Neodiprion lecontei: one gene and its partner. The protein of the gene in region 2 interacts with the protein of the main gene of each other region in a pairwise test. Links are inferred from orthologs where the notes say so. Each region holds a gene or a part of one and is shown on either strand. Other genes may lie near its edges.

Region 1 (6,383 bases), on a different chromosome or scaffold from region 2:
AATCATATATCATTTTGGCACCCAGCTCCCTAACTATAAGAACCTGCGTTCTTTCTCTCCGTATCAAAAAAAAATAAAAATCGCCGACAATCACCTTTCTAGGCCTCTAAATCAGAACACTGCGTTCAATACTGTCTCATATACGGAGCATCCCATTACATCTCCATCAAAATTAGCGCATCCGTGATGTGTTACAGTTACTCTGAATTTTTTTCCATACGAACACTTTTCGAAAAACAACATTGCTTCTCTATCCAACGTAGATACTTCAATTGCGACTAGCTGAAACAGTATTTCGATTCTATGCCTACGAAAAGTTAAGATCGAGAGAGCAAAAGAAAAGTTGTTGGAATAATTACGAATATTAATGTTGTGGAATAGATCGAGCGCGCGTCGAAAAGAATCCCATTTCGAAATGAATAATTGTTCTAATTTCATATTATAAACGTATTGTTGTAGATAATCTAGTTTGTCTCCTGGAAAATTATAAAATTTATAGTATGCATCACGTATGGATCATATATATTAATATCGTACGTGGACCGCATATACATACCTATATACTTTTTGGTCTCTGCATCATTATGACATCTGATCTATCATTATTTATCATCCATGTATACATACTTTTCCCGGGTACCTATATTTTAATTAAATCACGTTTTTGCTAGGAATTTTGGAAGAAATTGATTCTCATTATTAATTTCTTGAATCGCTGACGATTCGGTAACTTTATAAGTCGGTAAGTACGCACAAGCTAAATATTGACTTGGGCTTACCATTACGACGACTGTGTTAGTCGAAAGGTTATTGCAACCAACATCATGTCGTGATCGGTAACCGTCTGATGCTTTGCAATAAGTTCCCAACTCCGCCGCTGGAACACCGCAGAGGGCGTAAGCGCGCGGCGAATTTCGGTTGTCACACTAAAGCCCGTAAGGCTAACTGTCTTTATAGTCTTCAGTCAACGCCAGATATAACAATATTAGATGCATAATATACTGTCAAAAACAAGTAACTTTGGAGCGTAAAACAATTATCTTATTGGCTGTTACAAGTATGAACAATTTTCTACACTATATTACAGGTATTCTATGAACGCTGTGTGTCCTGGGAATCTCTTGGTCTGCTTCCACACTGAAAGATAAAGAATTTCGTTATTTCTAACCTGTTTTTCGATTCCAAAGATATGTAGGTATATGAATACGAAGATGAAAATTACACAATCTTGAAATCCAGGTCGGATTTCAATAACAGTCACACAGGAATAAGAAGGAAATTGAAGTGTTCAGGTTTAACGCAATGAGGCTGTCTTTTTAAATTGCGATTTGGCAATTTGAAATGTGCCAAAGTTGCAGTAAACCGCAAGGCACAAATCAAAATGTACTTCTTTTCGAACTAAAAACCCGGGAAATATTCTCTTATAATGTTAAATAAAGTTAACTTACAAACTTCAATCTCGACTGAAACTCACAATAATCATTACAATGAAGTAGTTCAGGATTACTAGTTATCATTTACACAGGTCAAAATATAGAAGGTTGAAAGTTTGAATAAACTTTGTAACTTCTGATCTCCTCATTTCAGCAATACTGTGTTCGTTTTACAAAATTTTCGCATGCAATGAGGTTTTTGATACTTTTGAAACTTTGGGAAACAAGTCTCTACACCCATTTCTTAAATAATTGACTGAGTATTGATTGCAACTTTACATTCATGTCAAGTTGTTACGAAATTATGGGCTGGTTTGGAAAAAAACATTCTAAAAATTCCTAGTAATTTTTCTGCAAGAACAGAAAGGATAGAAAACGGGAAGTATACAGCTGAACATTATCTGTAAAATCATACATGGCTTGGTGTAAACAAAATGCATACCGTTTGAATGCGATCTCGCTGATCAAGAGCATGAGGTAGCGAAGGCCGTATGCAATTTATTTCCATCGGTGTCAAATGGTCTAGTTTAGCAAATGCGCTGTCACTTTTCATGAAGGCATCGACTGAAGTACGTAATTTAGACATACGAATATCCCACAGATCCTAGAACAAATTTTAGCCCTCTTGAGTCTACAAAAATAACAATTTTAATGCAAAAATTTTTGTATCCACCATGTTGATTTTCGATTATCTGATCTTAAATTCAAGGGCTGTGAGTCAGAAAACTTTTGAACGATTATTCGCAGTGCATAAAATGTGAGATTTGCACAAATTTGATCACCTTAACAATTGTTCTGATCTCTTCAGCCTGTGGAATGTCTTCTGGAGCTACACCCAAAAGCATGAGAGTTTCGTCCATGTAGTGATCACTAGGCATTTTTGTGAAAAACCTGAAATACAAAGTTTAATCAATTACTTAATATGTAGATTAATTATTGAAAAAAACATGTTATAATTGAGGCTGAGCTATCACAGTTTTCATGTTTTCATCTTTCGCATTCATTCTGTATGCTCCACAAATACAATGCTTATGATATTAAACACCACTTCTTAGGTAACACTAGAATTGCGAGTCAAATATTAATTAATAATTGAAAATTGTTATATTTAAAAATTCATTGCACAGCTAATGAACTTTATGATAAAGATTATTGAAATTTGTGTTCGGGAAACTATAATTCAGGGTCAATTTGACAAAACTCTCTTCGTCAATATAAATCTACACAAAAAATGTGCAATTAACTATGTAATTAATGAAAATATCGACTATTTATGGAAGTTCAACTTGGCTATGTGGTAGTGTTGAAAGCACATAATTTTGATAATGGTAGCTTACGATAATGTGTATAATTGAAAAACTTAGTCAAGTTCATCATCTACGAATCAGTTCTCTAAGAACCCCGCATGATCAATGAGACTTCATACCTTGTTTATATTCATATTTTTTATGCATGTTTACGTAAATAGCAATAACATGAATAGTCCTAAAGTTGCGTAATAATTTATTTTTCATAAATGGCATTATTGCATTACACTTCGAATTCAGTTATGCATAGAGTTCTATCTATCAAGACTGTAAATGTGTATCTTTTATCATTCTCTTACACTTTGCACGAATGTTTTAAGAATTTGTGAACTTTATTTCTGTAGCTTGTCGCTACCTTCAACTTCGTTAATCCAACCTCAACCCCACTAGAGAAAAGTCATTAAAACAAGGAACGGTACATCAAACCACATTCATACGTAACTTATGTAACGACATGATTGATATTTGAGAAAATGAAAATTTTAAAAAATGCATCAATCTGTGTTGCCATCTAAAATAATGCATAATTTGTCATGGAGCTATAATTAGTAACATTAACGTAACGAAACGTTGGAATAAAAGTAAATCATTACTTTGCAGCTTCAGAAATATTTTGGAATTGGTATTTGTATAATTGGAGTTTGTTAATGCTGAATTACGGCTTACTAATTATCAGGCGGTTTCATTGTTAAGAAATAATGATTTTTTATAAAAATGTATAGTTATATTCAAGTTACGAACTTCAACTTCATGATTTGTTAAGAAATGTCAAGAAAGGTTGGGTTAGGTTAGGTTGACAGTAAGCAGATTATGGGATTCCGTGAATTTGGAATCGCGTGGGGCAAATATTAATAGTAACTTGGATGTTTTTTCTTCGTCCTTCACGTCTATCAATAGCTTGGCGTCCATCCATTCTTGACCGACAATGCGACACTTTTGTTGTTGTTTTAAATTAACTGCCAACCAAATCGGAACTTGAGTAGGTAAGCCGGCTCGAAACGGTCCAATTGATCCAGATATCAAATGAATCTGATTGAAAGTGAAACTTGGTATAATTGTCACCAATTGTTTCTCCCCCAAGAACTCCACTTCATTTGGATCCATGTCTTACAACAGAATTGTTTTTCTATCAACGACATGTGTATGATTTTATAACTTGTTTCTGCTAATCGTTGCGAAATTTTTCGACATTTCAAGTCTGAAAAACCGACGTCGTGAGGTGCAATTAATCGACTAATGCGATTCATCAAACTTTCGATTACCACGATATCGATAAAATATTATACCATTCTTGATTGGCTGCACTGAGTGCGTTTTCTCCAGGGTTTCGCTCTTCTCATTGGTTAAAAAATGGGGAAATCGCACTCAGTGCAGTCGGTTGGAGACGCGATTAAATTACTAGAATTTGAGCAAAAATCAAATAAGCCAAGCATATTACCCGATAAATCGTCAACGCTTTGGTCCTTAGATTACATGCTCTAAGCAGAGATGAGTAGGGAGATCTCCAACGCTCGGCTTTTCGTGATACCAGCTAGGTTGGAGCGTCGACGTGACACCTAGGCGGCCACGCACCGAAGGTGGCCCATTTCCGACCTGACACCTAGGCGGCCATGCACCGAAGGTGGCCCACAATCGTGCATATATAGATATACTCGGTCGCTCGAGCAAGCGGTTGCCAATCGCATCCTTGTCCCCGCTCGCACTAATGTTTCCAGGAATGCAAGAATTGGGATTTTTTTGTTTCAATTATGAATGTCAGCGAATAAAAGTATCTCCAGATTTGATAAATTTTGGATTCAATTAGCGGACGCTGAACCAAAATAATTAACCATTCCCAGCCCGAATACTTCTTTTTTTTTAATAAATATTATTTTTTTATTGATATGAAAATATGTGACGCCTGGTGTTCTCGAATATTTGTACGCGCTGTCTATGGAAAAATATACGAAGCCAGCTCGATAACATTTATGCAAAATGTGCAATGGGCAAGTGGTTGGAGGAAATTTTTTTTTTCTCGAACTGAATCTTCCAGAGAACCATCAGCGAATTCCAAGCAAGCTCCATAAACATACCGAGCAAACGCGCGATCACGGACGTAGCTGTGGTGTGGCTGAGTGGATACCACATGAGGATGAATTTTCAATCACAGGTTTTTGCGCGAAGTTTTCCTGTATTTAAGTTAATTACTACTGCCTTTGCTATAATACTGCATTCAAGTCTTAAACAAAACACTAAAAAATAAGTTAACCACTTAATGTAAAACAAAATGTTAGATCGAGCTTAAAATTTAAGCCGGAGTTACATAAACTAAGATAATTACAAGTGCAATATTGTAAATATTGAGCATTTATTGTTCATCTAAATAAATATGGTTTCCTCCTCAAAAAAAAAAAAAAAAACATGAGGATGGAGTGATGCGGGACACGGGTTCGATCGCAGTTCACTCTTTTTTTTTTTTTATTTTTAAATTCAATCCCGGCTTTTTTTTTTGTATTTTCGGAGAGAAAAAACAAATCAAAGAAAGAAAATTTCGAGAGCCGGTCGATTTTTTCCTTCTTTCCTTTTGCTTTTTTTTTTACTGAACCCACCTTTTTTGTAGTGGGGGTAACCCGGAAGAGAACAAATAATTGAAACAATAAAATTCCGAGAGCGAATCGATTTGTTCCGCGTTTTTGGCGCCTCTTTTTTGATATGGAAAAGTTTTGACAGTAATGGAAAATAGAGATTACTAAACGCAAATGTATTGTTTTTTAATAACACCGGCCCACAGAAAAAAAGTGGCCTGTACTTTTGACCGGACCTACCTATCTTTATGTATTTTGACGCGCTGAATCCGAATCTGAAGTCAGTTTTGCCCGTACACCCTCAAAATTTTGAGTAAATTGCAAAAAAACCATAAAAATCGCCAAAAATTAGCATTTTTGGTAAGAAAAAAATTTATGGAACTATAGACCAAGTATGATTTTTATGCATTTTGGTCCGCTAAACCCAAATCTGAAGTTTATTCAGCCATAAGCCTTTTAAAATTTAATTGGGCCGGTGTTATTAAAAAACAATACATTTGTTTTTAGTAATCTCTATTTTCCATTACTGTCAAAACTTTTCCTTATTAAAAAAAAAACGCCCATTTTATATCAGTCTTGACGAGCATTTCTTAAGAAGTTTGAGAGATGCGAGATCGGAACGACAAAATTATTTCAGTAGCAACAATGTATGGACCCCTCTCCTTTTCTGATATTCGCAGCCAGTTGAGAGGCTTCACAGTGTTCAGTTTAGTGCCAGCAGCTCTCGAGGTAGCAAGATGGTAAGTGAATTACATAATTATTTTACATGTATGGAAAAACCGGCAGGTTTGACGATCGTCTATTTACTTTATAGATTAAGAAGAGAAAAAAAGGGAAGGACCTGTAGTCGTATTTTATACTTTATTTAATTTTCCTTGAATTGTCAGACGTTTTTATTTTTGATTGTATAGGAAGAAGATGTGTGGGGAATTCCATTCTAGTGCCCAAGAATATAGTACACATTTTCGATCATTTTTTCTTTTTTTTTTTGGGAAAACATTTTCCTCAATTTCCAAATTTCCTTAATTTTTTGGTATTCAAATCGATTCTTAACAATTTTGCGCACAGGTGGGATTTCT
Region 2 (5,293 bases):
ATGCAGTGTTTTTATTAAAACGTACTTAATGAAATAACATTGAATTCAAATACAAGTGCAGAAGAAATTGGTAAAACGGGCTCTCTACGTGTAACGATTAGTGCGAAATACATTACAAATTACATTGGCGTTTCATGATTACAAAAAGATAAAATACAAATTATATATGTGTATGTAGAGCGGAATGTTTAGAGGGATGGCGGGTGTGCTGGACTGAATGGGTGCGAACCATGGTGCGAACGATCGGCAGATGAGTTCGAACGACTGATTCCAAAGATGTGAGAACGGTGATAATGTGTGAGCGAGCGGGTGAAAGAAAAGAGAATGGAAGAAGGAGGCAGTCGGGAAAAGCAGTCTAGTGTGTGTGAGCATCAAGGTGTGTGAAATGTAAATCATTGAGAACCTTTCGAATGTTTATTTGTACTATGTAAATAGATAAATGAACAAATCGAATGTAAGAAAGGGAACTGGGTTTGTTGAGCATTGGGCATAAGGTGGTCGTTATTGCGATGTCGAACAGGAATAAACTATCAATTACAATTGTGAAAATTACCTAATATCTCTATTCGATCTCGTATTACAATTTGTTAGTATAACTTTCGTTAAAGTCTTAATCACCGTATTTTGAATAAAAAATTTCTCGTTGCGGGTATCTACAAAAATATACGGGCGTGTACAAAGTATATGTATGTGTGTACCACATACTCATATACTAAAATATTTTGTATTTTACTTTGTTCTCATTAGAAAATGAAAACGTAATTTGTATTTCATTGTTGCCTCAATCACAAATTGCAATTGCAATCGTTGAGTAATTACGATTTTGTTCATTAGCGACTGCCCCACTTTGTGCCGATTACCTCTATAATTAATAATCGAACACCAGGGACTATTCACTAATTCCCCCCCAAAAAGATTAAAGACATGGTTTGATATTTTGTTCAATTTATTGTTTGTACAAAATTCTCGAGATTTATATGCTTCGTAATTATTCCGTAACAATATAACAGGTATCGCAAGTAGTCCCTCTAAAAATATCATTTTTACAATTGAATTATATAAGGCACAATTGATGATTAGAATATTACAAATTAGAACTTACAAATTAAACTAAAGCTTCGCTAAGAAGTTGAACAGTTAAAAGACAGGTTTTGGATTTTCTGAAGCTGGAATATTTAGGTTTCACTTATAGTTTTGTGAGATGGATATAGGAGCCTAAAGTATTTCAAGCTTTCAACCATTTCTGTTCATTTTTAATCATTGTTTACGGACTGTATCAATGTATTGGCATAATTGTTCAAAACATAAGTACTTAGGACTGTATTTTCATGATACAGCCGAGGTAATGGAAATATTCGAATACAAATGAACAAATACATTGAATTAATAAAATGCATCTATTTAATCTAATTGGAAGAACACAACGTTACTTCAACAACTAAAAAAATACAACGATTTTAATATATCGTATATCTTTATGGTCAACTGTATTGTGAATCTGATACCATATTACTATATAGCAGAAACAACCTAGCAGAAACTATTATTGGAAAATCTATTTTCAAATAACAAACACTGTGATTACTTGAAAATTATAGAAACCGTGATTTTTATTCACCTTAAGGATGATACGAAATTTTACCCTAACAAAATAGTCGATGGTTAAACTTCTGAAGTTTTAACTCATACTGTAGTGACTTTGTTCTACTTTATTCTACGGAGACATTGAATTCACAAAACCTATGTTCAAAACATTAATTGTGCTGTTGAAATTATTATTTGATAATTTTTGTTTTCGGTATTGTTATAACTAGATTATCGATCATTTTCAACTTGAAGTCAAACAAGATGTGTTACGTGACATCTATATCAATTGAACTGCTCCTTCTTTCACTAAGCTTGCGATTGGCTGGTATTGAATAAGGCGCTGTGCACCAGCCGTCAAATCTATTTCATCATTTGTCGTTCCAGGCACGATGATTCCTTGCACAGGTTTGTTGACTCGCAAAAAGACATGGCTGTTCAAGTTGGGTTTAACAGTCAGTTTATCAACTTCGAATGCTTGAAAATTAGCAGGCATGTGTTGAAGCGCAACTGTTCTGAAAAGTGTTTCAATATTGGCTAAATATTCTTTAGCAAACTTGCGTTCGCCTGGAGTTAGGTAAGATTCTTCCGGACTCTTTTTGTCATCTTCTGACAGAATGTGTATGGTGTATTGTTCAATTTTTTCTAACCTCGTTCGCAGGTAACTCTTTATAACGAATCGTATTCTATCGATTTCCATCTTATGAATAGCTAGCCTGATGTCACCCTTTTTCAATTTTTTCATGTTCTCTTCCATGTGAGAAATTTGTTCGAGCATACAATCAACGAGTTCTGATTGATGAGGTAATATCTCTGGTGCAAATTTCTCGTTCAACCAAGCATTTTCAATGTCTTGCAATACTTTGCCGGGCGTGAATTCTTCATTGTCGCTAGAGTCCAAGTGCTCTGAAACATCCGCTACGCTATCGTCCATTGCAAGACAGAGTGACAACGGTTCTCGGGACCGAATGTGAATAATGCGTGGAATAATGTTTACAAAAACATGAACATGTCAAATCTTACTGAGACGAGATGTCACCAATTGACTATGCCATACACGACCGCAAACTATAGGAAGAGTAGATCCTCTTCTGCTTCGGGGCCATCTCCACGATGACTTTGGGAATGCGTTCCAATGCGTTCCGAAATCAATCTTCAGTGCCGTGATCAGCCATCTTTAATCTCTTTTTCACTAATTTGCCTCTACTTTACGAACACTTTCTAGTCCTCCTTACCTCTACCCGCCATATCTTTTGAGCTAATGACTAGTTCTGTCTGTACATCTCTGGGTATATTCCGCCAAGGAACTGTGGCAGTCCAGTAATATCATATTTTGAATTTTCTAACTCGCGGTTGGTGGTATTTACTGGTCATTTACTGCCAAAGCGTTCCACCAATTGACAATTATTGTTTGAAAATGTTATCTTCATAATAAACAATCAATACAGCATTAATAGCGTGCATGTATATTTCTATTCAAACCCTATTTACACCTTCAAATAATGTAACCTGCATAATCGAGAATTGCTCTAAAATTATTTTATGAGCCATCAACAATTTGTATTTCAAACATTTCTTTACATTCGCGCTGATGTATACGAATTTATATTTTAAATACAGTACGCAAAGGGATCAACAATGATCGCTGCCCGTAGTGGGAGATGTGTTTGCTATAAAAAATAAAATAGTTTTTATGAATATGTAAAAGGTTTCTTCCCAGCAAACTATAGTTCATTTTATGAGAATCATACAATTTTCACTACTATCAACACTGCTGTTTATAAACGAATATTTACCATTGTCAGAATAATGATTTTTTCAAATGAGAACGTGATGATTTTTCACAAATCGTGAACTATTTCATTTTTCTGAAAAAATGTTGGATTTCAAATCGATGGTGATATTTGTCATGGAAAACTTGTAGATTTGTACAAAGTAAAAAGTATAGTTGCCTCATCGATAGCTACACTTCTCCGAGAGAGGGATAAGTTTCCGCGAAACCAATCCAAAGTTTCCATTGAAAAATTAAGGTATTTCACAGTGTCGTATAGCAAGTAACGGAGACTGAGCTAATTTATTTATCATGATTCCAGATTCCTATATCTATATGATTCTTTATATATATACATATATTCTATTTCAATGGTGAACATCAGGTTTTTGAAAAATATACCTATAGCCAAAAAAATTATACACAAAATCATTATCGTAAACGTTCACTATATCTCTTTTACAACTCAGGTATCGAGAGAATCAGTCCGAAGGTCTATAGCACATCGCATAAAAACTTAACGATATGCAAGATTAAGGATCCGCTATTAGTCAATTACCTTAAAAGGATTTAAAATCAATTTGATCCACCGATCACTGAGAACCATTTCAGCGATATTTGAGTATATCAGCTTAGAATCACTTAGATGTAATTAAAGCGACAAAGATTCTACGAGCTGTCATGACGTTGTTGTAAACAGCCTGATAGCGATTAGGAGATACTGCATCTAGTCCATTTTAAAGATTATGAATCACTAGACTAGAGGCCTATACTGGTAACCGCCTCAAGTATGTACGGTTATCGTAATCTTTAGTCGATCAGTGTGTCAGGTATAACTGTAAAAAAATATAATTCCAGCGTATTTGAAAATACGTACTGTCAACATCGATTCATTTTAGTACTGACCGAAGGTGAATCCGGTTACAGAATATATGTGTCTTAATATTTAAGTGTAAAACAGTTGTTGCAGTGTGTCAGTATTCAGGTAGTCGATTTTTACGAGTTTCCCCGTGTCTTCGTCTATACATAAGAGATGTCGAAGTATGGCTACAACAGTTTGCCTACCGGGGAACCGGATCCTGACGATGAAATGCGAGTTGCGTTGCCTCCGTTAATGGTCACGTTGGCTGTACCGTCAACTCCAAACTATCCGATGTCTCCCTCGCCAATGGGGTCATCGGAAACGCTTCCAGAACATCAAAATGCCAAACGGAGAATGGATCGCCGTCTTATGCGTCTGAATACGGAACTCCTTCAAGCGGTTGTTGACGGAAATTTGGCGGAGGTTGAACGGTCCGGTATATGTTAATTTTGGTTCCGCTATTTCGAATTTATCTTGAAATTACGCAGCCTTCCTCGGCAAACGAAGAAAAAATAAAAAGTATTGAACCGGGTTTATTTTAATGCCGTTAGCTACTAATCCAAAATTTTCAAAAAGACGTATTGCGTTGTGCGAAAATCCATCCGAATTGATTGTTCTATTGTTTGAATATGTGTCTACAGCTGCAGGTTCTTCATACTTTCTTATGTTTGAATTGTACCGCAATTTCAATTTGATCCAATGTGTAACGCACAGTTTCGTTTCTATCCATAATTCCTATTCGATTCATTTGAAAAAAATTGAAATTAATCTGGAACAAAGTCAATACGCCTCAAACAATTCAATTTCTATTCAGTTGTTTCTGTTCGAATCCTATAACGATTTGAATTCGTGTAAATCTGTCAATGGTGAGTGGGTACCTTTTCGCCTCAGAGTATTTTCCACAGAAACGTATAACCCACGATTTTATTCGATACAGCATTATTCGACACGTACTTATAGTACGCGAGTATTATACTAAACAGAGTTATTTTACTCGGGTGTTATTTAACAGTAATTCTTGTACTGAGCCGTCCTAGTAGATGTGATCGCATGGACGTATTTCAAAACGTTCTAGT

The links.
Region 1: the proteins of DNA replication complex GINS protein SLD5 (region 2) and probable DNA replication complex GINS protein PSF2 interact in a two-hybrid assay, tested with the Drosophila melanogaster proteins (2 studies listed by BioGRID). The link is inferred for Neodiprion lecontei from reciprocal best matches to the Drosophila melanogaster genes Sld5 and Psf2.

The regions. Positions count from the first base shown.
Region 1 is NC_060264.1:16,899,588-16,905,970, forward strand, and holds probable DNA replication complex GINS protein PSF2, read right to left. Parts: upstream 3,970-6,383; 5' UTR 3,845-3,969; coding exon 3,600-3,844; exon of another isoform or gene 3,493-3,599; coding exon of another isoform or gene 3,482-3,492; intron 2,325-3,481; coding exon 2,216-2,324; intron 2,038-2,215; coding exon 1,876-2,037; intron 1,578-1,875; exon of another isoform or gene 1,567-1,577; intron 1,138-1,566; coding exon 1,093-1,137; 3' UTR 1,020-1,092; downstream 1-1,019. UniProt on the Drosophila melanogaster protein: The GINS complex plays an essential role in the initiation of DNA replication.
Region 2 is NC_060261.1:11,940,428-11,945,720, reverse strand, and holds DNA replication complex GINS protein SLD5, read right to left. Parts: upstream 2,665-5,293; 5' UTR 2,519-2,664; coding exon 1,865-2,518; 3' UTR 941-1,864; downstream 1-940. Other genes in the region: transient receptor potential channel pyrexia-like, read left to right, coding at 4,389-4,648.